Alligator mississippiensis: one gene and its partners. The protein of the gene in region 2 interacts with the protein of the main gene of each other region in a biochemical or structural test. Links are inferred from orthologs where the notes say so. Each region holds a gene or a part of one and is shown on either strand. Other genes may lie near its edges. The genes, in order: LRP6, GSK3B, KLF5 and RICTOR.

The links.
Region 1: of the proteins of GSK3B (region 2) and LRP6, one has a biochemical effect on the other in vitro, tested with the Homo sapiens proteins (2 studies listed by BioGRID, with this or other methods). The link is inferred for Alligator mississippiensis from reciprocal best matches to the Homo sapiens genes GSK3B and LRP6.
Region 3: of the proteins of GSK3B (region 2) and KLF5, one has a biochemical effect on the other in vitro, tested with the Homo sapiens proteins (2 studies listed by BioGRID). The link is inferred for Alligator mississippiensis from reciprocal best matches to the Homo sapiens genes GSK3B and KLF5.
Region 4: of the proteins of GSK3B (region 2) and RICTOR, one has a biochemical effect on the other in vitro, tested with the Homo sapiens proteins (2 studies listed by BioGRID). The link is inferred for Alligator mississippiensis from reciprocal best matches to the Homo sapiens genes GSK3B and RICTOR.

What each region holds. Positions count from the first base shown.
Region 1 is NC_081827.1:137,072,716-137,080,641, reverse strand, and holds the start of LRP6 (low-density lipoprotein receptor-related protein 6), read left to right. Parts: upstream 1-4,907; 5' UTR 4,908-5,066; coding exon 5,067-5,124; intron 5,125-7,926. UniProt on the Homo sapiens protein: Component of the Wnt-Fzd-LRP5-LRP6 complex that triggers beta-catenin signaling through inducing aggregation of receptor-ligand complexes into ribosome-sized signalosomes.
Region 2 is NC_081824.1:253,049,574-253,056,809, reverse strand, and holds the start of GSK3B (glycogen synthase kinase-3 beta), read left to right. Parts: upstream 1-4,231; 5' UTR 4,232-4,249; coding exon 4,250-5,060; intron 5,061-7,236. UniProt on the Homo sapiens protein: Constitutively active protein kinase that acts as a negative regulator in the hormonal control of glucose homeostasis, Wnt signaling and regulation of transcription factors and microtubules, by phosphorylating and inactivating glycogen synthase (GYS1 or GYS2), EIF2B, CTNNB1/beta-catenin, APC, AXIN1, DPYSL2/CRMP2, JUN, NFATC1/NFATC, MAPT/TAU and MACF1.
Region 3 is NC_081824.1:389,872,032-389,879,057, reverse strand, and holds the start of KLF5 (Krueppel-like factor 5), read left to right. Parts: upstream 1-4,021; 5' UTR 4,022-4,100; coding exon 4,101-4,292; intron 4,293-6,815; coding exon 6,816-7,026. UniProt on the Homo sapiens protein: Transcription factor that binds to GC box promoter elements. Activates the transcription of these genes.
Region 4 is NC_081826.1:276,976,003-276,982,839, reverse strand, and holds the start of RICTOR (rapamycin-insensitive companion of mTOR), read right to left. Parts: upstream 3,007-6,837; 5' UTR 2,976-3,006; coding exon 2,927-2,975; intron 2,845-2,926; coding exon 2,797-2,844; intron 1-2,796. UniProt on the Homo sapiens protein: Component of the mechanistic target of rapamycin complex 2 (mTORC2), which transduces signals from growth factors to pathways involved in proliferation, cytoskeletal organization, lipogenesis and anabolic output.

The DNA of each region.
Region 1 (7,926 bases), on a different chromosome or scaffold from region 2:
TTAGCTAGCTTCCTGATTAATTTTAAGTCAGAGACAGTATTTTGCCATCTGTTCCTTTCACTGGGTGCATGTCTCAACCACAATGCAAGCTAGGCATACAGCTTGAGCCAAGCACAAGGGTCAAACCAAAGCCTCAAGGCCTCTGGGTCCCAATACACGTGACTTCTGGGGAAAGGCCACAGGAATTGGGCTTATGTAGTCTGAAGAGAAGACTCAGGGGGTGGGATTTAATTGCAGCCTTCAACTACCTGTCTGTAGAGTGGTTCCAAAGAAGATGGAGTTAAACTGTTCTCAGTGGTGGCAGATGACAGAAAAAGGAGAAATGGTCTCAAGTTGCAGCAAGGGAAGTTGAGATTAGATATTAGGAAAAACTGTCTCACTTGGAGTGTAGTAAGGTACTAGAACAGGTTACCTAGAGACGGGGTGGAATCTCCATCCTTGGAGGGTTTTAAGGCCTGGTTCGACAAAGCCCTGGCTGGAATGATCTAGTTGGGGATGGCCCTGCTTTAAGCAGGGGGTTGGGCTAGATGACCTCCTCAAGTCCCTTCCAACCTTAATTTTCTATGGTTTGGTGGAAGGGGTAAAGGGGGTTGGGCTCGATAGCTCAGGGAGAGATTCCTCCCCCCTTGTGTTATACAATTCACTACAGATTTTGCATTCCTCTTTTTAAAAGGTTAATAACTTATTTTAAATTATGACTGTACAATTTAAATTACACTACAACATTATGCAATTGCTATTTCTTCTGGACCTAGCTCAGATAACATTCTGCTTTTCCTGCAATGCTGAGTTGTGCTGACCAGGGCTGGATATAGGTCACTTGGTGCCTAGGTGCAGGTAATAGAATGCCATCCTTAGTGACTTTTAGGGGTGCCTGGGACACTCCTGAGTCTCTTTACATTTGCCCTTCCTGCTGGGAACAGACCCCCGCTTCACTTACCTGCCAGGTCCTGATGTTTCTTTGGGTTCTGAAGAGGAAGCTGCCCCAGGGTTTCCCAGTAGGGTCATGAAGCTCAAGAACACCTTGCAGTGACGAGCATCAGCCTTAAGGGCTCTTTGTATGCTTCTACCTTCCCTTAACATGCTCTATGCCTTATAGGTGTTGCCTGTATACCATCCATTTGTGGGGGCTTCAGCCTCCTGAGCTTCTGCTCCTTTTTATCTGGCTAGGCCTACCAGCCAAGGTCCACGATTTAAGACTTGACTTCGAGGCCCTAGCTCAACAAACCACTCTGGGCTCCTGGCCCGTTATACCACGGCACTGGGCTCCCCAGTCTCTTTAACACTGCACCCCTGTGGTGCTGAGTTGTTGGGGCCTCAGCCTTCCCCAACTTTACCCCTTATTCTATACCTTGGCCTCCCAGCCTAGGCCCACTTGGTAGGACCTGACATTGAGGCACTAGGGCATCCCTCCACTCCGGGCTGCGTGCCCTGTATGGTTGTGCCTGCTATAGCACAGGCTCTTTAGCCCTCCAGCTGTGCATTGTGGACACTAATGAGGTCTCCACCTCCCCTACAGCCTCAGCCACAACCAGTCTAAAAAAAAACATAAACAATAAGCCTCTGCGCTATAACAAAAATAAAGGCAAAGAAGACAATTTGCCTGCTTATGTTTCCAGGGTCTCTGTCTCTCTGCATCCCACCACTAGCTGCTCGCTCTCTCATGAAGCTGCCCCTACTTTGTGAGTTCTCAGGAATCCACTCTCTCTGCAACTTAATCCCCCCCCAGCCAGTTTAGGCATCACTTATGTAGTCCTGGCCTGAGCCCTCTTCCAATCACCTGATGCCCCCTCAGCTGACCAACCAGCCAGACTCAGCTTTTAACCCCTTTTCTGCCAGTAGGATGTGCCCTGAAGGCTCTGGTCTTAAAGGGGCTGCCCTGCTTTCCAGTAACAGGGCTAGGGTTCCCTGTTACAGTGCAGCATGGCATGCAGAAATCCCTGCTCTGCCCCTGAGGTTTGCATTCTCCAAATGCAGTGGCAGAGGCAAGGGAAGCCATTTTCCCCATTAAGAGACAGAGGGCAACATTTGGTGTCATTATCTACCCTGCAATGGCAACAGGGGCCCTCTCTAAGTCCCAGAGATTTCCAGCGTTTCCCAGTATCTACCCTGACTGATGATGAAATCTATTTGGCTGGTGGCATAGCTGTACCTCCTTTCACACATCAGGTACTGCCTCACCAGCAAAAGGACACTTGCTGGCATACAAGCATCAACAAGCAGGGTATTTTTTCTGGCATCACTATGTTGGTTAGGTGGCTTGATTTATTTTTTTACATGCTTCTAGTTGACTTAACTCTGATAGGAAAATCTTGTAATGTAGATCCAGCTCCAGCAGACATCACTACTTTCGTTTACACTATTTATATTCTCAAGCTTGTCCTTGCAGTCATTAAACTAGAAACAACCTACTTTATAGAACTGTTTTCCATGGAAGCTGAGATTCAGATATAATCACACGGCTTCAGGACCTGGGGCCTCATGCAAGATCCATAATCAAGTCAAGTGAGTTCAGAGGTCACTGTGACCACTGGGGCACCTTAGATGCTGTGCATTATTGGTGATTCTTCAGGCAAAGTGACATAGTGGCACCCATCTCCTCTCCAGGTATGGGATGGCCGCTGTCTCACAGGGAGCTCATCTGCCCTTTGACAAGTCTTGTTTTTATTTCTGCTGGGTGTCCGCACATACTCCTCACTCAGGCTAGCCTGGTGGGAGCACCGGTTTAGTTGCCAACAACCCGACCCAGAACAGGCTGTACTGGTTTACATGGTACCAGAGAGCAGACCAAGAGAAGCCTGGCTTGACAGATCCATAATACCTAATTTTAATCTGGTTTTGATGCTGATTTCCTGTGATAAATAATAATTTGAAAGAATAAGCAATTATGAAATATTTGTTGAGCAAGTATTCTTTTTTCTGTGTTTCTGATAGGTCTGAACATGTTATGACCATTTAATGTGATATTCTCTCACCTTCTGCCGTAAACGTTTGTGTATTAGAATTGTGTTCTATTAAATGGTTGTTACAAGGCAGATAAGAGACAAAGTGGTGGGTAAGTCCTTATGTATGTCTCATTGTATGAATCAGTAAATGGAGCTTGTAATGTGAATGAAAGAAACTAATGAACAGAAAATGTGTCAGTGGATCCAAGTACAAAAGACCAGAATACCTTGGAAAAGAAGTATTTTAAAGTTCTTATAAATGGATAACCAATATACTGTGCCTCACAAAACTGTGAAAATCTATTTATAGTAGTTTTCCAAGCAAGGGATATATTTCAGTGGACATTATTTGGGGAAATGGTCCAGAAAGTGTGTTTAGGTATGAAACATAGCCTCTCTGTTTTATATTTGGGCTTTTTGACCACTTTCAAAGTAAAAAGGGAAAAATAATGGCGACCAAAAAAAAAGCAAACAGGGACATTTGTGTGAGCAATTGATCAGGCAACATTACTGCAATTAAGCAGCAAAATCCTGACAAAAGGATTAAGGTAAGCAATGAGGAAAGGCAAGATTGTCGCTTGCCAGTTCGCACGGGGGACACGCACACAGATCATAGCTTTATTGTACAATGCAAGTTTTTTTTTGGGGGGGGGAGGAGAGACAGGCTACTGATACTCGAGCACTACACGACTGAGCCAGTTCGTTCCTTGTCCCCACCCCCGGCAGCGGTTTTCAACCCTGTTTTCAGACTGGAGGCCCCCCCGGGAAAACTCTACCTCTGCTTTGAAGATGGAAAAATAACAGGGCAGCTTTTCCCTCCCCAAGAGCTGCGAAGGGCCACCACAAGGCAGAAGGTTTTGAATCCTAGGGATTCCTAGTTGAAGTCTCTGGGTTCGTCCCGGGATCCACCTTGCGTCCCCTCACGCCCAGGGCACACAAAGGAGACCCCAGTCCCCGAGGTCGGACACGTCGCGGCTGCTCCAGCGGGACCCCGCGACCCGCTGCCGGGGGCGTCGCATGCGCTCTGCCGCTGCCTCCCCGCCAGGGGAGCCGCGCGGGCCACCTGCAGCACTGGCAGCGGATCAGGCCGCCCTTTGTGACGCGGCGGCTGCGACTCCGGCTGCTGTCCTGTTCCCGAAAGTAGACCCGGCTATCCCGCTCCCCGAAGGAAAAGGGAGGCGAGGAAGAAAATAGTCCCGTTGGTATGCCGCCGCCGGCGGATGCGTCCCCGCGCCTGTGCAGTGAGGTTTGCAAAGAGCCGGGGCTGCGGGACGCGCTACACACAGTGTGGTGTAGGACAGGGCAGTGGACGGAGGTGGTGTTATGCGATGTACTCCAATGTACAGTAATGTACAGCAGTGAAATGCGATGCACTCCAGTGTAGTGCGATGCAATGTGGGGCAGGGTAACGCACTCCAGTGAATGGATTCATAGATAATACGCGGCAGGAAGGGGCCTTGGAAGACTGTCGTGTCCCGCCGACCTGCACCCAGCAGGAAAGACAGCTGGGATCAGAGAATGTGATGCACTGCAGTGTAGTATAGGGCAGTGAAACGCGATGCAGTCCAGTGCACAGAGGTGCAGTGTAGAGCACTCCAACGCTGCGTGGCGTCCGGCAATGCAATGCACTCCCATGTAGCGTGCTGTATGGCAACACAATGCAATGCAATGCAACGCACTCCAAGGCAGGGGAGGGGAGGGGAGGGCAGTGAAATGCAATGCGATGCACTCCAACCCCCGAGTGCAGTGCCGTGCAATGCACTCCCACGCTGTGTCAGGCAAAGCAATGCACTTCCGGCTGCCCAGCGCACGGACGCACGCAGGGAGAGGGCCTGGAGGCTGCAGGGAGACAAGCGGGGCGGGGCGCCGGTAGGAGGCGGGGCCCGTATCCCTGCGCTGAGCTGCGCTGCGCACACGGCGGGGGTGGGCCAGGCGCTCTGATGGGGGCTTTGCAGCAGCCCTGGCGCGGCGGCGCGGCGGAGGCGGCGGCCTGCTAGGCAGGGGCAGGAGCGCGAGCGCGCCGCGGGGCCCCCCGCCCGCCCGCCGCAGCATGAGCCGGCCGCAGCCGCGGGGGTGCCGCCGCCCGCCTCCCCCGCGCCGCCGCCCGTGAGAGCCGGGGACATGGGGCCCGCGCCGCGGAGACTGCTGCTGCTGGCCGCGCTCTGCGCCCTCGCGCGAGGTGAGGCGGCCGGGGCCATGTTGCGGCAGGGAGAGGGGCTGGGGCCGGGGCCGGAGGGGCTTCGGGGGTCCCCTGAGGGTGGCGCTGGGCTGGGCGCGGGCCCCTTCTCGCCTCCGTGTCCCCGCTCCCCTCGGGCGGGGGCCGTGGGCAGGGCATGGGGTCCTCTGCGTGCCGAGGGGGAAGGGGTGGTCTAGAGGCCGGCCTTGGGTTGAGCTTTACTCCCGCCCCCCACAACAAACCAAGCGCCCCGTCGGCAAGCAGCGTACGATGGGTTTCTTTGAGGAGCGCGGGGCCTGGCGGCTCTGTCCTGAGGAGTGTTTATGGTCCTTCTTGAGCATCTTGAGGGGCGTTAAGCTCCTCTCATCTGTCCTGAGAAGTGTTTAAGGCTCTGCTGAGCTGTCCTGAGAAGCGTTCACATCCTCCTTATCTGTCCTGAGAAGCGTTAGGCTTCTCTCTCCTGTCCTGAGAAGCCCCTCACATCTGTCCTGATACTTGTTTCAGGCCCTGCTGATCTGCCCTGAGAAGCGTTTCAGGTTCTGACCCTGTCCTGGGACTTGCAAGAAGTTTGTGGTCCGGAAGCGGTGGGTTGCAGTGACTGATGCTCTGCATTTTCAGAGCTCCTCTGAAAGCTGGCAGTTGGCTGCCATTCAACGTTTTTAATTGAACTCCCCCCCCTCCCCCCCTTCCTGCGCTGTGGAGCACAAAACTGCAGCCAAGGGATTTCTGTGCTGTACGTTTGACTATAATAACTGTTTCAGCTCATCTGAAATGATCTCTGTTGGTTAGGAGGAGGCACCTAGTTGGCATCTTTTTTTTTTTTTTAATTTACTCTTTTACACAGTTAATAAGGAAGGGGGGGAGGCTTTGATACTATTGGGGGGGAAAAGCAATCCCATTTTTTACTTAAAAGCTGGCCAGCTGGCACTAATGAGTTTGTTTTGATGGGAACTGGAAGGAAGGTGGTTTGGTTTGGAGGAAGTGCTTGATAGCCAGTTGCTCAGTGCTCTGGAAAAGCAAGATTTCGCCACGGCAGTCCTTGTCTTCCCATGCATCTGTTTGCCATATTGTATCCTGTTGGAGGGAGAGTTATACTTAGGTACATGAGCTGTGTAACATTTCATGCCCTACTTGTGCTAGAAAAGTTTGATTGGATCTCAGGAATAGGAATGAACCAAAACTTTTCTGAATACAGCATTTTCTTATTCATGTTTTCTTCATGCAAATGTATCTAGCTCTAACTTTGTTTATGACTTGGCTATTTTTTTTTCCTTTCGCTATAGTGGCAAATGGAGGAGGATTTTGGCACTCATGACTGTCATTTTTTCAAATTAGCACACAGTTGCATATACTTTGCAAGTTTTCATGAACCCTGTGATTCTTAGGGAGAAACTTTTGAAAGACATTAAGTTTGTAAATCATCCTGGATTGTCACCCCCCCCTCCTCCCATCTTTGTCTGTTGCTAAAGACATTTGCATCAAAACAGTATCTTTGTTTCTTCAGAGTTCATCTGCTCCTGCTGCTTCTCTTCCCACCTGAAGTCTTACTCTCAGTGACATTACAGTAATTTCCACAGCAGCTAATTGTTATTTTGGATACCTATAAGCAGCAGGAGCAACTAGCTGAGTGCTGAAAGAAAGAAAGCTTGAATTTTCATGCAGATGCCCTTTCTAATAAACAACATATGATATGCAAGCAGAATTGGCTCCAAGTAAAATGTATTCAGTTTTCAAGAGGTGTCAGCAGTTTCTTAATGAGGCAAAAGCAGTTGCCAGCTTGAGAATGTTAGAGGTATGATTAAGTTTATACATGCAGGTAAAGGGGAAGTTTGGCATATGTGTGTTTACTTCTTTCTTTGTGAACTCAGCACTGTGAAATGTGCCAAACTAACAGCATGGGAGATGTGAAGGATGCTTGATGTGCAAAAGATGCAGTGGAACACATGCTTTCTTTGCCTACCTAATAGCCAGATGACAGCAGTAATTTCTGTTAACGTGCCTACCAACCCAGAGTGAATTTAAACCAATATCCTGGAAGTATAAGGTTGCAATTAAATCCCTTATGATTAAGACTTGGAAAAATAGCAGACACCTACTAGTTAAAGTGGATATGTAATATATAGGACCTCTTCACCAGTCCTGGGACTGTGAGAAGCCAGGCCCGCTACCAGGTGCAGAGTGTATGTTGGATTTATAGTGGGTTGATGTCTCTGGAGCCTACTGAAAAGTTCCTTTGCTTGTGGCAGCCTCTGGCCTACTTTGGCAGCTGGAAAGAGAATATGTGAGGAGTCCACCTTATCCTAGAACTGCCCAATGGCTGGAATTCTCTGAACAGCAGCAGTGCCTGCTATTGCTTGGAGCTTTCTCCAAACTACAGAGGAGTGTGATGGACTTGGTTCGTGTCAGCTTCACTGTTTCCCACTGCATTTTAATAGTAGCTGTGAAACTGCTGGAGTATTATTAGATTATTCAGTGCTGCATGGAGGCAGCAGTAGCCAAGGAAGATGATACCACTTAAGTTTACATTTGCAAACTTAACTTTCCTGTCAACCCTGCTAGGTATGCATCAAAAGTTGACTGAATAGAAAGCTTATAAATCATGTATGGGCTTTACATATTGCAGTATTTGAATACTGAACAGGTCTGCAGTTGTGGTTTGGGTCAGTTCTGTAAGAAATGAAGTGTTTGGTTGGGGGACTGACATTTCAGTGATTGCTTTTTCTCATTATGTGAAGAGATGTAGAATTTGTTTGGTAACTATTTTTATTGGACTAACTGTGTAGTTGGGAGAGACAAGCTCCTGGG
Region 2 (7,236 bases):
AGATCCTCCCCGCCAACACACACCAGTTTTCAATTCAGTGCCACCTTATGGCATTTTACAGTGATAACACTTCAACTTAAATAATATCTTCCAAATCTGCAGATATTACAGGCTTTTCTGACGCTTGAATGAAATGAAAGATCTTTAATTTAAATATTTTCATTTATAAATGAGTCCTTCATGTTTACAATTTGGAAAAATATGAATGGCTTACACCTCCTAACTATTCTTGCTTTGAAAGCAACTTGTTATGTATGGCTTTCAGGTTCCAATATCATGTTGTTTTGTTAAGTAAAGAGGACAAAAAGAACCTTAGATTCATTACAATGTTATCAGTAATGCCAATTCTCATGAAACAGTCATGAGACTCCTTATTTCCAAATCAAATTAACTTGCGATCTCAGGATACAACCCTAACATTTTGGGATTTTCCTTCCAGTGTGTGTAAAAAGCATCCAGTTGGTACATCTGTGGAGGGGAGTGTACACTGCTGCAGGGAGCTGAGCTGCACCCCCTGCCTTCCGTGCCTCTGGATGAGCTGCCTGCCACACAACCTGCCCCAACCCTAGGGCCCCATTCCCACCAGCTCCTGCCTTACTTCCTCCCTCCCTGGGGGTGGGCCTCAATCTGCCCTCCCCCACCACTTACCAGCTGAGTGCTGTCCCTGTCTGCCCGTGTGTCTGCCCCTCACTCCCAAGCCACAGCCACTTCAGCCCTGCTGCTGCCTCTCACTCCTGATCCACAGTACTCCACATCCTGCCAGGGTGTGAGGGGATCCTCCCTCCCCAGGCTCCAAACCTCACACTCATATCCATAGCCCCCCCACACCTTCACAAATAACGCCCCCCCCCCCCGCACATACTTAAAAAATGGCATTTAATGATTTACATAACAATCTCTTGATTTTTTAAGTTTGTCTCATGATTTTTCGCACAGTGGAGTTGGCAATACTGTGTTATCAATATAAAGTGTTCAATCATAAACAATAATTAGCTGACTTAAAATTTCCAGAATTGATTTTAGTTCTTAGGGAGATCTAAAATGAATATGGGATCATTGTGTTGTGGTAGGAATTTTAACAGTGGAAATAATCTATGCTGTAAGTATTTGGAACAGAAATTGAAGATGCCTAACACCCATCCAGTCCTTTAATACTCCATTAATAAATCAACGATAATGCCCCAAAAGTTAGAGTGGACTTCAGAAAATTGAATGGCTGGGGCTATGATTGCAGCATATTGGCTTTGTAGAGGCTATAGCTCAGTTATGGGTTAGATTTAGGCAGGATGAGCTTGGTGAAAATAACCAGGTGTAGATTTTTGTAATGAGTATTTTGCATGTAGTTGGCTGATGTGGGATAAGTAGGGTTGAAATGGATGAAAATGTTGGAATTCAGTACAAGTCAGTTTGGGAAGGAAAGAGGGGCTGGGGTTTCTGATAGGTAGATAGCGCTGCAATTTGGAATAAGCAAGAGAAAGAGTTTTTAAGGTCTAGTCTTAAATTTCATAGGTCAATGAGGCTGATGCTTCAGTTATCATAAGACAGTAAACTTATAATAAAGTTTTTAAGGGGACATGTTTAAAATGGATACAATCAACTTAAATATCTCAAGTCAGTATGATTTTCTTTTATTATTTCCTGTTGCTACAAGTAACAAGCAATGTTACTGTAGTTCACATAGAGCAAACAATTTTTAGACTGTCTCTTTGCCAACTAGCAACATTTGATGTGTGAGAGTATAAGGCTTTCAAATTCCTAGTTTTAAACAACCATGTTTTTGAGGGATCCAAACCAATCTGCAGCCCATATCTGGTCCTACTGAGAGGGGACAGGAAAGTGTGAATTTCTAGCTGGGGGCTCTGGGATGGCTGAGCTCTGAATAGCAGGGGTGTTGGGGGTTTTTTAGGAAAGCTTTTTCTTAAAGGAGAGGTTTGGGTGCTGGGCATGGGGCGGCACTTCTGCTCTGCTGCTGAGATTTTAGGATGGTATACAGGCATAACAATGCAGCTGGGCACCTGGGGCAGTGGTGACTTCTGACTGCCGCCATTCTGCCAATGTGACTTATGCAGTTTCAGTGGTAGTTTTTTTCCATACCCCCTCTCAAGTTGGTGCCTACGGTAGTTGTCTTAGTCACCCCATCCTAGTTATGCTACTAGATGCACTAGTACTAAAAACCTACAACATACACTAAAAGCATCAACCTTTCAGCTTTTCAATAGTGTTGTTGTTTCTATGTATGGTTGAGACAGAACTAGGATTATTTTGCCTAAAAAGAGAAGACTGAGGAAGGATTTGACAACAGTCTCCAACTACCAGAAGAACAGTTATAGAGAGGATGGAGATAGTCTCTGTGGCTATAGTGGATAGGCCACAGAAATGGCCTCAATCTGCAACCGAGGAAATTTAGTTTGGAGATCAGGAGGAACTTGCTGACTACGAGGGTGGTCATACATAGGAACAGGCTACCTAGAGAAGTTGTGGAATCTCCATCCCTGCATACTTTCAAGCACAGGATAGACAGCCATAGAGCTGGGATAGTTTAGCTAGGAATAAGCCCTCCTTGAGCAGGGAGATGGAGATGGTTTCATGAGGTTCCTTCCAGCCCTAACTTATATCTCATGAACTTTCTCTGGTCTCTAGGTCTAGGTAAAGACATTGGTCATTTACTGGAGAGTCCAGATAACTTATAGCATCCTTGGCTAGATTGTACGGGAGTGAGCAAACTGCTGAACCAGACTGTTTTGAGTGAGCTTTCTGCTTTGGAATAGAGCTGTTAGTACCTTTGGCCAAGTCTAGGCCAAAGGTACTAACAGGTCTATGGATACCTGTGTGGTGCCATGTAGTTCTGCAACTCGCCCCACACACCTTTTACCACCTCTCATATCCCCTCTGCCCAGTAATTCCTGGGTTCTTGCCAGATTTCCAGACATATGCTATCGGCTGCTTCAAATGCCTATGATGGGTTTTTTATTGAAAAATAACCTGCAAGCAAATAAATGGAACATCTATACCCAAATTACCCACTGCCCAGGGAAAGCAGTATTCAGTGCAGTTGCAGTGACAGGTTTAAAGTCTGGTATTTTATGACTTAGGAGAATTAGAAATTGATCACAGGGGGATTCATACCTTTCCAGGGGGTATGCAGCCTTGGGCACTTTAACACACAAAAACCTATTTTCAGGATATCTTGAAGTTTTCCTAATCTTATTTTGAAGTTTTTTTAGCCTGGTCCCATCCAACTCCAGGTGACCCAAGGCACCTTGAAAGCAGGAGCGAACATTAGGCTGACAGCCTTGGACTGCCCCCTCTCACACTCGATCCTGAAACCATCAATATTGTGAGAAGAGGAGAAGGTTGTGGGCAAGGACAGCTCTGATGGCAAGGCTTGGCCAGCCGTCACTCTGCACCCAGGGCCTTGCTGCCTGTGCTCCTCACACCCCAACTCTTGTGAGGGGCACAGGTGGCATGGCCCAAGCTGGATTTTTAATTATGGGCAAAAATATTTATATTATTATTTCTCTCCTCCTTGGCACAGGGGGAAGGTCAAAGCCCATGACTGGCAGCCCTGAGGCACTGTGCTACCCCGGTTGTCCTGTGGCAAGGTCATGGGCAGCACTGAGGACAGTGGTGGCTGGGGCACGATCCAGCCTGCCCTGGGTGGGGCTGGGGGAGACAGCTCCCCCCCCATGGCCGTGTTTGGGGAGGGGGACCTTGACCCCCGGCCTGGAGCGCACACCCCCTCCCCGCAAGCCTCTTAAGGTCACGGGGAGGGTGGGGGAGAGGGGCAAGATGACGCATGCACCATCCCCCTCCCCACGGGAATGAATGGGCTGGATTCCTTTCCCACCCCCACCCCCTACAGGACGCCGGCTGCGGCCCGGCTCCGCCCCTCCAATGGGCACGCGCTTTGCAGCCAGGCTGCGGCTGAGGATTGGCACAGCACAGGCGGCTGGCTGGCGTCTTCAGGCCGCCTCATCCCCCTTGGCCAATCACAGTGGCGAAACGTAGCCAATCTCGGCCTCCGTAGCTCCGCACCTCCCCCTAGTATCAGGTGGAAGCCTTCTGAACCCGGGGAATAGGAGTAAGGCAGCATCTGATTGGCTTTTCCTCTTCGCCCATCTTCGGAAACGCCCGGAGGAGAAGCCCCTTCACTATTGGCTCTCCGATCCGAGCTGCTAGGGCGGCGGCAGCCTTTTGCCATTGGGCCGGCCTTGGGCTCCGAGCCGCTTCGTCCATTTCCACCTCTCGCATGCGATTGGATCCGAAGCGTTCGGCCATCTCCGCCGAGGCTCCCCCATTGGCTCCGAGGCGGCGGGATGGGCTCCGAGGTCACTCGGCTGTTTCCGTGAGGGGCCGGGTGGGAGCGCGCGGCGCTCGGCTCGGCATTCTCGGAGCCCGCTTGCGGCTGTTACGCAGCGTAGGGCGGCGGCACAGCGGTAGCTGCAGCAGTAGTAGGAGCGCGGACAAAGGGCAGCGCCCAAGGCCGCCAGCCGGGTGGCTCCTATGTGCCCCGCGGGGCGGCCGCCGAGCCCCGCCGACATGGCCCGCCCTGCCGCCGCGAACCGTCCGCACTGCAGCCCGCCCCGCCCGCGATGAGGAACCGCCGCCACTGAGGAGCCAGGCCGTGCAACCGCCTCACCCCGCGCAGATTCTTCCGCCCGCCCGTGCCGGATCCTGTTCCTGCGGGATCCCTCCGCCAAGTAGTCCGGCGCTCCGTGCCGCCGCCCGCGGAGGAGGAGGAGGAAGAGGCGGCGGGGGAGGGGCGGCAAGGGGACCGGCCGGGCCCAGCGCAGCGCACCCGCGGGCAGTGGCGGGGCCGGGATGGCTTTGTGAGGCCGCGCCGAGGGACCGCCGCCGCCGCCGCGGAGGCACGGACGGGGCCGCCCCGCGCCGCGCTTCATGCGGCAGCCGCGCCGCGGCGCCTGAGCCCGGCCCAGCGCAGCGCTCCCGCCGGGGCCGCCAGCCGCGCACCATGTCGGGCCGGCCCCGCACCACCTCGTTCGCCGAGAGCTGCAAGCCCGTGCAGCAGCCCTCCGCCTTCGGCAGCATGAAAGTCAGCAGTGAGTATCCGCCCGGCCCGGCCCGCCTCGCCTCCCTGGCACCCTTCAATGGGCGCGCGGCCAAGGCCTGCCCGCCCCGGAGGACTGGGGACCCGGGCGCGCTCCCCTCCGCCCTGCCCGGCCGCCCCGGGGCCGGCCTCTGCCCGCCAGGGGTCTGAGGCCTGCGCGCCCGCCGCCTCCTTAGTCCTCCCTTCCCCATTCATTTCATCCTGTGTCTGATGATTCACTTCATTCTTTGCTTATTTGGGCACTCGATTATTTGTCTGGTTCATCTCATTATGTACTTATTCGTGCACTTGGATTTTTTTTTTTGTTTAATTAATTTGATGATTTGCCTATATGTGCACTCGATTTTTTTTGTCTAATTCACTTGATGGTTTGCTTATGTGTGCACTCGATTATTGGTTTGTGTGTGCACTTGATTTTTTTGTCTTAATTATGTGGTTACTTGCCTATTTTTGCTCTCGGTTTGTCTACTTCACTTGATCATTCACCTATTTGTGCACTCAATCTGCTTATTTATGCACTTGATTTTTTTTTTTTGGTTTAATTATTTGATTATTTGCCTATTTTTGCACTCAATTATTTGTCTAATTCACTTGATCTTGTGCACTTGATTTTTTTTTTTTGTCTAATTCACTCAATCATACCCGATCTGCTTTATTTGTGCACTTGATTTTTTTTTTGTCTAATTCACTCGATTACTTGTCTATTTGTGCACTCAGTTATTTGCTGCTTTGTGCACTTAATCAGATGAATTTGGCCAATAATCATTTGCCTATCTGTGCACTCAATTATTTGCCTAATTAGTTATTTCATGACTTGCTTATTTGTGTGCTCGACTCTTTGGCTAATTATTTATTAAATTTATTTTATTTCCCCACCCAAAAAAGAGGAAAAAAATTGCCAGCTTGAAGCTGCACTCATGACTGGTTCATGTTGGAGATGCCTTTAAAGCTCTGTTGGTTGCCACGGTGGAAACGGGTGCTGGGTGCCATACCGGTTCACCTCCAGTTGGGTGTGAACACCTTTTGTGCAGGCTTTCAAGGGAGAGTGGCGGGAGGTTCGTCCCTGCAGTAGCTTGTGCATGGGGCTCAATTTTTTTATTTAATTTTTTTAATGCGTGGAGGCAGAAAGACTTCTTTACTGTGTGGTTTGTGACTGTATCAAGACCTTGTTGGAGATGCAGGATGCTTTTCTCACCTTTTTGAAGGATTTATTCTTAAGGCTGAGGCCTGTGGTTTATTCTGAACAGAAGTGTTATGTGCATCTTGTGAACTGGGCAAGTGGTTTAAATACGTGATTGTCCTTGATTTTTCAGCTTGTGGCAGGAGGATTTTGAGGTGAATTAGAAATCTTATCCAAGGTACCTCCTCCATATTGGAGGAAAAAGGCCTCTCTCTGTGTCTAATTATCCATGATACGTGTTTAATTTGGAATTTGTTGATTTGCGTGCACGTTCAAAGCTATAACATTCTTGCGTATCCCTGATTTAACGCAACTTTCAACGCTACTTCAGTTTTATTCTGGCAGGACTGTGGGAAGCTTTGTTAAAGGACCTTGACATCCCTATTGAATTGATCAATTGGATGCCTAAATATAGTTGCACCTGGCAAGGCTGTATCTCTATTAGATTGCTGTGCTATACGTTGAAGCCTTAGCCTCAACCTAAGGCTGTAGGTGATCACAAGCCTTTATGTAGCTGCTGGTGATTCCTGCCTTTTTGTGCTGAAATGTCTCCTGCTGCAGTTGGAGCCTGGTAGAGATACTGGAGTTCAGGATCTGGAGCCTGCCTCTCATCTGCGGGATCAGAGTGCCTGCAGCATTTATGAGGGGGTGTATGTGGGGAGCGGGACAGGGACATAGAGGTTTGCCCACTTTAGCAACATAAGATTATTTCATTGATTAACTTGAACAATAATATACTTCAGGCTCTTAATTTATGTGGAACACTGATTTCCTTTTTTTCATATTGATTAATCAGATCTGTAATAGGAAGCAGGCAGTGTTAATCAGTATTTCTGCAGGTGGCTGTATGTGAAACAGACCCAGAACTGGAGCTGTCACAAGACCATTTTAGCCTTTGATGCAAACTTTCCTTTATTCTTGAAAGATTGGTGTGTGGATGTTTATGCTCTTTGAGGTCAAAGACTAGGCAGGGACTTGCCCATAAAGA
Region 3 (7,026 bases), about 140 Mb from region 2:
AAATTTCTAAAGCTAAGTCCCCTGAGGTAAGAGTGCTGGTTCTGTTTCGATATATTGTGCAAGGAAAAGGAAGATAAAAGCTCTGCATTGCACACCTTGCAGTTTTTTTCTTCTGTAGAAACCCCTTAGATACAGCTCTCAAAGATTTTTTGTTATTGTAAAAAAATAAGTGTATTCTTTTGTATTACCCCTTTAATAGCGCCTCTTCTTGGGTTTTCTCTTCTTTTGTGGTTGACTGCTCTGCCACGTGCCCTAAACATTCTAAAAAGCTGATTAAGGATAGCTCACCCTTATGTAAAGATCTCCCCTCTGTAGTTGTGTACAGAGGATCTGTGAGCTTAATGATTGTCTGTCCTACAAGAGACACCTGATAAGGGCAGCATAAGTTTGCACATCCATGGATTTCTGCAATCACAGTTGTCTTTATGAACGTATAGACTCTTGGGGCCAGGTCCTCTCCCATGCTTCCTTAGCCTTCTGCAGCTGTACACCACTTCCCCACTGGCTGTATGGAAGGGGAGATTCAAACAGCTGGCCAAAAATTCAGGTGACTACTGATATTACTTGAGGAAGAAATATATAGTTCCTCTTTTCCAGTTAGGTTACATGAAAAATCAAATTAAATGGACCGAAACTAATTGAAAATAGGTCCCTGAATCTGCTAACAGCTCTTGAAGTGACTGGACATCTGTGTGTGGCTTAAAGTCTGGCTCAGTTCTGTTGAGGTCCTCAGATTTCCTTCACCTCATTATTATGGAGCAATTTATCCGTGTCTTTCCACCCCCGCTCTGACAGCCTCAATAATGCACATGCAGCCCCCACACACTTTGGCACCTTTCCCCTTGCAAGGACAGTGAAACGTGTGGCCTACTCTAGGATTACATCTGTGGAGATCTACAAATTAAAAGCTTCCCCACCCCCACATCCACCCCTCCTAAACTTTTTTGCTCCCTACCCATTTTCCCACAAGGCAGTGCTTATAGTTGTTAACTACTGCCAAACTTCCAACTGCCTGAAACTTGACATTTGTTCTTGTTTTCTCCTGTCTTCCCTAACGGGTATGGCACTACTAAGCAAAGAGGAATGCAAAGAATAAGAAAGTTCAAAGTCATTGAATCTACATCCATTCACCATGTGTGGATCAATGCCCACTCAAAACCTGGAGCACTTGAATAGCTTCAAAAGTTTTAACCCTTTTTTACTAAATCTGAAAATGCCTTTTTGAGTGCAAAGCATTGTGCCTTTCTTATCAGTGACTAAACACATTGGAAGGTGTTTGTCACATACCCCAATCTGCATGACTAATGCTGCAATAAACATTAATTTTTACTTTTGTTCAGTGGTAAATTAGTTATATTCTGTGGGATGAACAGGGATCTGTGCAACACAGAAATGGTTATTTATAATAATTTCACTAATTCTTAATGCTTACACCTTTTTCGGCAACTGTCAGTCCTCCTGGATTATGGTGTATGCATGAGGGGTTACCCAGACCATTGCCGCATATGCCTAGGCAAGGAGATGCTTACACTAACATTCTTATTTAAATATACTTCACTATGCTCATTTTTAAAGATTTTATACAGCTTTTATTCAGCTTTGCTTATTAAAGCATAATTTGATTCTCAACTTCTAGCTCGATAATCAGTTACAAATGGAAATACTCTAAAATATTTACTATAAGTATGAGTTGGGTCTCCCTGAACATTATTTGACTACAAACTAATATTTCTTTTAGGAATTTTTTCCTTAAATGTACCCAGCCATCTGTCAGTTTATTAGTGATATTAAATGCAATTTTATAAAATCAAACACAGGTTTCAATGTTTTTAAAAAATCTGATGGTAATGGAGTTAAAAAATGTTCAATCAATTGTTTGCTTGGATTTAAATATTCGTTTACCTTACCTGTAATCTAAAGTTTGCAGCAGTGGATTGGTCAGATAAATCAGTGAAAGTGACTCTGAACAATCATTGAAGTGACTTTGGTAATGGTAATTAAGTGCTAACAGAAAATACGTTGTGTCTTCTTTATTTACTTTTTACTAATCTTCCACTGACTATTCCTTGAAAAAAAAAAGGAGCACAAGGCCCATTCCTAGTAACAAAGAAAGGTGGTTTTGCTTGTTCTTAGTTTATACTGTCATTTTTAAATTTAGCATACTTCGAGCCCGCTTCTAAACGTATTACATATATTTTCTCACTGGAATTGCTTGGGTGCATGAAGATTGGCACTTGCCAAAACATTTTTAGGAGTAGGACTTTAACATGAAAAGGAAGCAAATAATTTTTAAAAAGATCTTTTTAATGTTCGGTTAAACATGTAGATGGCAAACATGTAACTAGGGCGCATGTATCAACAAGAGTAGGGAATATTTAAAGCAGTCTAGATGTTTGATTTACATAAATGAATGCAAATAGGTGATATATTGTAAGGTGTGGGTTACACCTGAAGCTCTGCCAGGGCCCTACGTTCCATCCGATCTTTGAGAAAAACTAGGTGAGAGTGAAGTACTGGTCTGTGCGTTCACATGTTGTTAAAACACTGCATTGTTAACGCTATGGCTGACCAATTTATATTTAACTTTTAATTTGATTTATGAGGGGGGTACGCTCAGACCTTGTATGTAGAGTTTGGAGTCTTATGAGTCCAAGTCAAAATCAAAATGTAAGTAAATGTTTTAAAAGGTGAATATGAGAGACATGAAGAGTTACAAGTCTATAACTAAAAAAATGAACTTAAAAAGCGCTCAGGTGAAGGGAATCCCTCAGTTGGAAAGTTTGAATGGAGAATACAGTTTCACTAGAGATACTTTGGAAAGGAAAGCTAGGAGTAGATACTGGGTGAGGCTGAGTATATGGGACAGGATTTAGATTGAAATAACTCTGAATTAGCAGCATCAGGCTGAATCCTAAAGGACCGAAGGCAGTGGCCAAATCTACTTTAGTATGAAGCCTCCAAACGTAGATAAACCAAGCATCTGCGTAAGAGAACTGGTCAAACTCTTTCTTGATTCTGTAATTATCTTTCTGCCTTCAGGCTCCCTTACAGGTCGTGCTTGAAGAAGAGAGCACGAGGTTGGCGAGAGCAGTGATTGTGATATGTAACAAAAGCCTGCCAGCAAAGGCAGGGTGGCTGGCTCTCACCACCTCCTTGGGATCTGTGATTATCGTAACATAAACCGTGGACTGCAGAACCTGGCTGGGAGAAGTGAAGGTGCAAGTACAATTTCCTTTATGGCCTTTCCCAACAAACAGCTTGTGCTTTTCCATAACACCTTCATGTACATAATGCCCTTCTTTCCGCCCCTTCGGCCTACAAATTGGAGGGAATTCTTTCCCTTGTGTAATCTGTGCATTAGGAGGGGCGCTGTTTTTGACAGACCGGCAGATACAAACCAGATGAATAGAATTAGGGACTTTATTTATTTATTTAGCAAAAATCTTGTTGGTCTAAGAAAAGAGATCATGTCTGCTGCAAGAGGTGAATAGATAGGAACTTTCCTCTGGAGAGAAGAGCAAGAGAAACGATTCTCTTTCCCTCTCCCTTGGCTCTTGCTGTGTCCCATCCGTGTTCAAGGGGAGCTCTGCGGGCTGTGCAGGCTGCCATTTCTGAGCAGCAGGTTTCCAGGTCCCAGACGGGACCAAGAAAAAGACAGTGGCGCGGCTGTTTCCCTGACGTGAAGCCTGTGGAAGAAGAAGAAGAAGAAGAGGCGGGCGCGGCGTTTGACAAGGGCGGCGCAGACGGGATCCCATCAGGAGCAGGGCTGTAGAGGCGAGGGCGACACTTGTTGACAGGCACCGGCCCCTTCTCCGGACGCGGCCGGGCCCGGGAGCAGGAGCGAGCGCGGGAGCGGAGAGACCCGCTTCTCCTCGCAGCCCGGCCGGCCCCGCCCCGGCCCCGCCCGGCCCCGCTCGCCATAGGCGGCAGTGCGGCGCCGAGCCGCCCCCTGCGCGGGCCGAGCGGGGGGAGGAGGTGAAATAGTAGCGGGCGGGCGGGCAGCAGCTGGGAGCTCCCGCGGGCCGGGCCAGGTGCGGGCGGATGCGCGGCGAGGCGGGGGCGCTGTGAGCGGCGCCGAGGCAGGGAGCGGCGCCCGGCCCATGGCCGCACGGGTGCTGGCCACGACCGCCCGCCCGGCGTCCATGCAGCCGCCGCAGTCCGACGAGCCCGTGTTCGCGCAGCTCAAGCCGCTGCTGGGCGCGCGCGGCGCCGCGCTCTTCGCCGCCGCCGACCTCAAGCAGCAGCAGCAGCAGCAGCAGGCGGGGAGCGGCGGGGCGGAGGAGCTGGTGCAGGTAGGCGGCGGCGGGGCCTGCGGGCACCTACCTGCCCGCTGCGGGGCGGGGGGCGCCGGACCCCCGGGGCGGGCGCGGGGGATCAGCCGCTGGCAGCAGCGCCGGGAAAGCTCCAGCTGCTGCCCTTGCACTTGGCGAGGGACGAGCCTGGCGCTGCCGCCCACGCATGGAGTCAGGTTGGAGCAGGGGCGGCCGGGCTGCCCGGCACTTTCTGCGCGTCCCGGGAAAGGGGCTGGGAAGGGCCCGCGCGACGCTGGCGGGGCGGCGGCAACGCCGGGGGCTGGGGCCGGGCCGGGCCGGGCCGGGCCGGGCACTTGGGGTGACTAGGGGCCGCCGGAGCGGCTTGTGCTTGGGGGTGTGGGCACACGCACACTATGAGTGTGTCCGGTGGCACTCGCATACACACATGTGCACATGCAAGATTATGTACGTTATATATGAGTGAGTGTATGCATACATGTATATGCAAATACATACATATGTCTTATATACACACACGTTTGTCTATGTATGTGTGTAGATAGATGCAAATACATACATGCATATTATATACACAGAAACATGTATGTGTATATGTGTGAGTGTATGTATATGTGTATATGCAAATACCGATATATTTTATACACAGAAACGTGTGTGTGTATGTATATGTGTATTCGCATATACACACACATTTGTGTGTATACATATGTACATGCGTATGTATATGTGTGTGCACATATATGTATGTGTCTACACAGCCGTATGGAGGCAGATGAAGTTCTTTGGGTAGATGTGATAGCTTTTATTAGACCAGCTAAATGGTTGGGAAAATTGTTCTTTGCACGGTAGTCATAAGCTTTTTGGGTATAAACACCCTTCTTCAGGCAGAGGGAGAGGCTACAACCAGCACCCCCGAAACACTGAACTTCTGTGTATATGTACACACACTCCTGTTCAGTTCACGCAGTGCCATATACAGTGGCACTCAAACGCATACACCTGTGTGTGTGTATACACATGCACAATATATAATATTGTGCGAGTGCCACTGTGTGTGTATACATACACCATATATGTATATGTGTGTGTGTGTGTGTGTATGTATAAAAATTAAATATTATATGTGTACTGTACATGTGTATATACTATTATAATATTGTGCGGTTGTGTAGACACCCGTGCACATGCATAATATAATGTGTGCATATGTGTGTATGTGACTGATACTGTATAGGGCACAGTGTGAACTGAGCAGGAAAGTCTTTGGTAAGCTATGCAGGAACTCACCTGCTCCCAAAACTCAGTTCTTTTTTTTTTTTTTAAGCGTAGTCCTTTGCTAGGAATAGATAGCCCTTCCCTTGGAACTCAACTGGACTGATTCAGTCCCTATGGGAGATTGAAGTGGGGAGGGTGGGAGGGGAAACGTTGTTTCCTGAGAATTTATAATGATGAATATTGAGTGCAAGGATGTTTCAAGTCTGTGGCTCAATGATATCTTCTCAAAGAATAAATATGCTTGACTTCAAAGCAAGCTGCCCTTGGCTTGTAAACAAGAGCTGGAAAATGTAGCCTGGCATGTTAGGGCAGATCTAGATCAAAGAAAAGAGGAGAGTGTGCACACACGCACGTGTGCTTCCTCTCTGAGGAAAGCTCTCAAAATGTAGTTTTTAAGTAGACTTACGGTTTGTCAGCTGCATTCTGTTTTAGGGGTGCTGAAGGGTTTTGGAATGACTGGACTCTTTACAGTGGAAGGGGGAATGTAGCATTTGCCCACTGGAGAGTACATGATAAATGTTTTACTGATGACTGTACCAGTAATGTATCAGGCTTGAGCCACCCACGGATTCCCTAGCACTACTACACTAAGGGAATGATTTCCTAGTAAGTAATTAAAGAACTCTCTTAGGATTGAGACATGAATAGGAACATGTTTGTCACGTTATTAACCAATTATAGGTTTTGCTGATCTTTAAGAAGCCTTACTTCAATCCAAGAGACTTTTTTACTACAGATATGTAGTAACTTTCTGATGTCTTTCCCTTCTCTCTACTTTATAGTGCTTATTAGTTTGCACCTGCTGGGGGCTTCTGTCCAGTAGAATTAATATTTTAAAACTCCTAACTTCCTAGTGTTGACCTTCATAGTGTCAGAAGGTGTGACTTTTACAGTTACTATTTCAAAGAGAAGAATGAGAATCATGCATAATAGTGACAACAGAGTACAAGTCTTGCAGAAACAAGTTAGATGTAAAGGCTGTGCTTTTTGTGCACGTTGTTCAGTTGCAAACAAAAGGAGGAAATAGTTTAGGTGATTATGCTTTCAAAAATATTTTTCTCTTCCTGCATAAATAATTTGAGAGATACTTTCTGATTTGTTTTTGTAGGTGTCGATTAATGCACCAAGAGATGAAACTTGTATATTGATACTCTTTTCCTAAAATAGTTTACTTTTTCACTTTTGAATTCTCCCATGACTGATGTGTCATCTGGTCTGTGGGTTGGTAACAAATCATGTGGATTATATGTTTTGTTTTTTATTTAGACAAGATGTGAAATGGAGAAATATCTGGCACCGCAGCTTCCACCCATTCCTGTTATCCCTGAACATAAAAAATACAGAAGAGACAGTGCCTCAGTTGTTGACCAGTTCTTCACTGACAGTGAAGGGTTGCCTTACAGCATCAACATGAATGTCTTCCTTCCTGATGTTAGTCACCTCAGAACTGGCCTGTACAAATCCCAGAGACCATGTG
Region 4 (6,837 bases), on a different chromosome or scaffold from region 2:
TACATAGAAAGAACTCTATGATATCTCACTACAAAAGGCAACTGGAAGGAAGAAAGACATGCCAAAATTATACAAAACAGTCTGAGCCTGTTTGAATTATTAGCACTATTTCTGACCTAGCTACACAAAGACAACTGTGTGCAAGTCCTTGCCACATGTTTACCTGTCATTTTGGTCAAGTCAATGCTCAATTAAAATCTGCTTAGAACAAGTTATTATTCACATATATACATACATATATATACATGGAATAAGAGATGCTCATAAACAGAGGTAAATTAGTACATAGACATGAATGTACTAATTTATCAGATACTTTATTTCAGTGGTTTTCATATTTAGTTCTCTGAAAAATAAAGCTTCATTTAAAAGAGTATCAAATTATTAAAATGTTTTGCAGCAACTATGGCATATATGCAATACAATATGAGACAGACAGACAGACAGACAGACATTAAAACTATGTTTTATAACAAAGTATACAGATCCTTCTCTAAGTAAAATATCATTAAATTAATTATGTATAAAATTGCTGCTATACAAGTGGAGGAAGAAAATGAACATTCATATTGTATGCAATGATGTCTATTTCAAGTTACATAACTAGCTGTGATGTCTTGCTGGGGCACACTCGATTTGCTTCTTGGTGCCTTGGTTCTCTCTTCTATAAACTGGGAATAGTACATCTTGGAGGAACATTAGGCCTAGCACATGTTTCTAACATGAAAACATTCTAAAACAGAGGTCAGCAGTCTTTTCAGGAGACAGGCGAAAGTGACCCAGTTTCTGACAGAAGCTGGCATGCGGGTGGGCACTAGGACCCAGCCATTGCCACTGATTTTCTCCAAAGTGGCACACCGAGTGAGCCTACCCCCGATGCTTTTCCCCATAGAAGTTCCCTGCCACCAAATGCCACCAAAGCACCGCATCCTCTAGCCAGATTAAGTACCTCCATGGACCAGATGTGGCCTACTAGACACAGGTTGCCAACCCTGAGTAAATTACATTAATACCTGATCCTTATTTCAAAACTACATGCCTTCGGCAGGGAGTACAAATGAAATTCAAAGAGGTCCCATATGCAGCTCTAATTGGGGGTTTACAGCAAAATATCTGCCAATTTAAAATTACCAGAGCACACGGCATCTTTTTTCTATTATGTTACATTAAAAACGGGTATCTAAATTTGCACACAGCCAAATAACTTCTCTATTCAGCAGCACCCAAAACTGAAGTAGCAGACTCAGAGCATTGCAAAATACGATCTCTAATTTTAAAAAGACTTATAGATGCGATACAAAGTTATCAATCAATATGAAAGAAACAGGTGTCACTTCCACTACTGTTTTCTCAGAATTGGGGTATTAACGTTTAAGGTTTCACCATTCTCAGAAAATGGCAACTTCATTTTAGGTTGTGAGTAGAGTATTTCAAAACTTATACAAGGCTTATAATGACAGAAGAATAGGGTTTTGCAAGTAATCTGTAGAAGATGCCTAAATAAATAGAAAACTATGCAGTTACAAGAAATTATTGGGCATATATGGGAATCATAAATGCCCAATTCTACAAGCTTGCACATATTCTCTCTTATGCACAAGGAAACCCAAATATTGCAGGTGAAACGATCACATGCATGTTTGCAGGGTAGGGGACTTAGCAGCTCATCCGCTGGCAAAATTCTCACCAGTTCAGTTTTAGAAACCCATCTATATGATGTATTAATAGCTAGAGTTTAAAATTAAGCATTTCCTCAATTAGAAGGGTCAAAACCCTGAAAATAAACAGATCTGCTTTACAATAAATCTCTCATGACAGGGCTCATACTAGAAAACGTTCTGGTGTTGCTCTGTCACAATGACACTTAACTGACAGCCATACAGATCCCTTAAGTCAGTGGTTCCCAATCTTTGGTACGGGTGCCACCAGCACTGCGCAGACAACCTGTCACTGGTACATGTTAACAGATTTATTATAATTACTTTATATGAGAAAATCTGCTGGTGGTACTTAAGGTTTTATTGTTTTAAATTGGTGGTGCGCAATTTTTCAGAGTTTGGGAACTGCTGCCTTAAGTTATTCCCGACCAGCACCCTACTTCCATTACACTGCTGGGCCTATTTGGTCCCTTTGCTTCCATCTCTTCGGCCCTGCTGGATTTCTTGATAAGCCGCGTGCATCCAGGGTGGCGACACCACTGGGTCTTCTGAAGCAAAACACTCAACTCCTTGCAACCACAGAGGCTGAAACAGCCTCAAGTTCTCGACCTGCAGCAGCAAAGGAAACCCGCAGGGCTCAAACGCACACACGCGCACGCACATGCACAAAAAAAAATGAAAGTTACCTTTGTGCTCTCGGAGCCAATTTATTTTTTAACCCTCACAGAGAAAGCCCCTACATCCCCCCCCCCCCCTTCCCCGCCACGCTGAGGCAAGGTTTACACCCGGGAGGCCGCGATTGTGCACAGCGAAGGGCTCGGTCGCCTGCGCGGCGTGGCGGGGAAGGCCCGCGGGCGCCCACACCACCTCGGCCACCTCCACGCGTCGGGAGGGACCTTGCCGAGTACCAGCCTCCCAAGTCCCAGGGGAGCGGAGGGACGGGGAAGGGACCCATTGGGGTGTGACCGGGCGACCTGCAGCCGGGAGCGGGCGGGGTCGCTTCCCGTTAGTGCCGCAGGAGGGGAGGGGAGAGGAGGGGAGGGGAGAGGAGAGGAGAGGAGAGGAGAGGAGAGGAGAGGAGAGGAGGGCCGGGCCCCGGGGAGGGGAGGGGCTCCCGCCCGCCCGCCGGCCCCGGTACCTCGGCTGAGATCGAGCGGGACGTTCTCCTCGCCGCTGTCGTTGCGCCCTGCGGGGAGAGAAGCGACAGGGTCAGGCGGGGCGGGGGCGGCGCTCGCCCCCGGGCCGGGCCGGGCCGGGCCGGCGCTTACCTCGGATGCGGAGGTGCCGGAGCGAGCGGGCGCGGAGACTCACCGCCATGTTTACGGCCCGCAGTCACAACACCGGAAATTTCGCGCGCTCTCGCGAGAGCCGCGACCCCGCCCCGCCCCACCTAGCGCGGGTGCGTCACGCCGCCCCGCCCCGCCTCGCCGCGCACGTGGGCACGGGGGGGGGGGGGGGGGGGGTTGTCGCCGGGACGCTCAGATCTTGCAGCGCGAGGTGGGTGCGGTTTCGGCGGCTGGGTCTGTAGTGCGAGACCGTCTCGTGGACGCTGCGGATGATGGTGTTCACTGCAAAACGATCGTGCAATGCAAACAAATATGCCGAGAATCTTCTTTATCTTCCTCCCTAATTTAGCAATGAGCGATGGAGAACTGGGCGGTCCAAGTTGAAGCGTTTCTTGATTTCGAGGCCAGCGGTGGTCAGGAAGTGCTGGCAGCAAACACAAATGTCTTTAAAAATTCCCCCGTGTCATTTCTTTATTTTCTTTATCTCTGATCAGTGGGCTCAGATCAAGCGTAGCCTGTGCTTGCCTGGCAGGGGAAACGCCGTGGCCACGGAGCCTGTCTTCCTAGCCGCACCAGGAGAGACAGCTCCGCTGGCAGGGGGATAGGACCTGCAGAGGTAGTGTATAGTAAACCTCGCACCGAGCTGCTGGAGCGAGGAGGTCTTGGCTTTACGCCCACTTTATGGAAAGGGGAGGCTGCTCCCTGGCTTGCTCCTATGGCCTTAGGGCGACTGAAACTTGGGGGCATCCACCCTGCAGGTAGGATGCTCGCCAAGGGTTTTGGAACCATCTGAAGCCCCAGATGGGGGTGGAGGGTATATCCCGGTAGTAGGGCAACTTATGGCTCTGGACTGACTTGGATTTGGAATTTGTTTTGGTTCATTCAGCTTGCACTACAGAATTTTTTTTAAAAAAATTCTTAATTCCCTACGTATGGGGACTTTTTGCCATCTTTAATTTTCCCTGAGCCTGAGGGAGGGCGTGTGAGCTGGAAAGTTTGCAGAAAAAGATAATTTTTTTGCAGTTTCTTGGTCTAATAAAAGGGATCATCTCTGAACCAAGATGTCTTTCCATCTCAGACCAACATGGCTGCTGAATGCATCCTTTAAAAATTACCCTGTATTTTGAGCACCCTTAGTGTTATTGATTGTACATCATACAAGGGTTGAGATATTGTACAAATATGATGATTACATCTCGCAACACTGACTGGGAACAGATGAACAGCAAAATGAGCGGGAGTGAGTGTCAAAGGTTGATGACGTGCTCCAAGAGGGGGCACCAAGCAGAGCACCCCCACAGTGTCCACTGGGCCTCCGACCCACCCAAGGAGCCAGTGGGCACTGCCCAGTCAAACCGCCCAAAGATGTGAGAGGATAAGGGATAGGAAAGTGGCCCTGCAGTCACTGGGGGTCCCCCTGGACAAAACCTTCTTCCTGGTTAGCAGACCTGGACGCAGGCATGGGCGAACCAGGCAGCCGCCCGGGGCCCAGACAGGGGGGCCTGAAAATGAAAAAAAAATTACAATTGCAAAAAAAAGTTTTACTATTGCGCATATATGGGACTGACAATGTTATCAGTTGAGAATGAGCTACTGAAAGACATCAGTACCACAGATGAAATAAAGACTTTTGCAACAAGTCCAATTATTATCAGTATCTCTGGCGAAGGGGGGCCTGATACTAAAAGTTTGAGTGAAGCCACTGCTATTAGAAGAGAGGAAGTGCAAGTGTGGGAGAAGAGGGACTATGAGACAGGATGATTAGCTGTGGTTGTAAAGCTATTTTTGTAAAGCCGCCAGAAGTCTAGATATGGCATTGCTGGTTAGGTTGATGGCTAGCTTGGCTAGGGCCAGGAGGATGGTGGCCAAGAGGTCCTGGGATTTGGTGGGGCCAGGGATGAAGAGCATGTAAACAAAAAGATGCAGGGATTAGTGCAGCTAGAACCTCAGCTGGAGGCTTTGGAGGAGGTGATGAAGGGGCTGCAGCCTGCCATACTTGAGACAGGCGTGTGCCAGGGTCTCCCTCTGCTCACAAAAAGGCAGGTGTTACAGAAATCTGAAGCACACCTGATACATGCCAGTAGAAACAGCTTTGGAGGAGCTACCAGCTGAGGTCCCAGATTGCTTGCAGGATCAGCGTGGAGTACAGGGATGGAGTATAGGCTTGACCCTGCTGAGGGTGTCCTGTCACTTGGTATCTGCTCCTGTGTGACACAAGGGACTAAGCAAGGTGTCAGGCCCTTCGTGGCTTCTCTTATTAAAGAGGGGGCTTATGGTTTGACCCAAGAAATGGAAGTTCTTATGTGGGCTCCCCTTACTGAGGAGGCTGTGCAGCTGGACACTGACTTCCTCTGGCATCATTCAGCCCCTGCAGGGACATGTTGGTCTGTCCTGTGAAATGACTTGTCCCTTTTATTTGGGGGTTTTTAATGAGGTTTCCCCAATTGCTTTTCCCTTTTTCTGTGTGTGCTTTAGGCCAGTGTTTCTCAACCTGTGGGTCGTGACCCAAAAGTGAGACAAGAATACAGGAAAGGGTCGCAAACAAACTATAAAAATAGATTCTCCTTTAAGGAGAAAAATGTGAGAAACCATGAGTTTTCCCTTGCAGGGTGGCAGAGATTTCCAGCCAGCGAGGGGCTGCTTGCCTCCCTGCCCTTCCGCACACCTTCCCTTGCCCCACACACTGGGGGGCTGTGGGCAGGGGGCAGTGGGTCAGGACTGGCCACTGATGTGTACAAATGGGTCCTGGTACAAAAAAAGGTTGGGAACCACTGCTCTAAGATGAGACATACATACATCCCTTGATCCATCACACATCTAGTTTCATCAGACATCCATCACTCATTCAGTTGCATGTGTACATCCATGGGTTCTGTGTGCAATATGCTTTTCAGAGCATTTGATTTTTAGAGATGTGAAATGAGAACACGATACCTTAGAATCAACCCAGGGTGGAAAAATTTTATTTTGTTCCTAAGTGATATCATGGGTTACATGTCAACAATATCCTCCATTGATGCATTTCTTTTAGCTGTTTTTATAAAATACACTTCTTTTACCAACCCCCCCCCTCCCCCATTGATCACAGGGACTCCTATCACAAAAACACCATGTTTTTTACTTGTCCCATTCAGGCAAAGGTCTAAATCAACAAACATGCCTTACATTGTGCCCTGAAGGTCAGGATGAACAACAAACAAAAACAATTCTTGCCTTCAAGGCCTTCCAACCTCCAGGAGTTCATATAGAAGCTATGTCAAATTGAAAGGCAAGGGTGAGGGTCTGCCATTTAAAAAAAATAGCTTTACAACCAAAGCTAATCATCCTGTCTCATAGTCCCTCTTCTCCCACACTCACACTTCCTCTCTTCTAATAGCAGTGGCTTCACTCAAACCTGGCATTACATATCAAAATCTTATTTTATTTATCAAATACCACAGTGATTAGAAACTGATTGATATATGAAAGATTTTAAATTGTCCTTTGTGATACTTTCTCCCTAAAAACACTAATATTGATTCAGTAGACTTAAAATATCACCTTATAATGTCATGAAAGCAATTTTTAATTATCAAAATCAATCCAGATCAGAGTTGAGGAGGACAGTGGAATACCTCTTAAATCTTAGGTATAACAGATCATTATAAACACATGAGAACCCTGTCTTCACTGGGATTCTGGCAAGCCTATAATGTAAAAAGCTGACTCCTTTAAAATGTCGTTAACCTTTAAAATCATTGTCATGCTCCTCCAAATCCTGGGATTGATAACTTGGATAACAATAGGAATGGACAGAAGTGACAACTCTGGCCCCAGAAAGTGCTCTACAGCTGTGACCTAACACAAGTACATGGCTGCAGAGCCCTTTAAAAGGGCCCAATCCCGCAACAGTC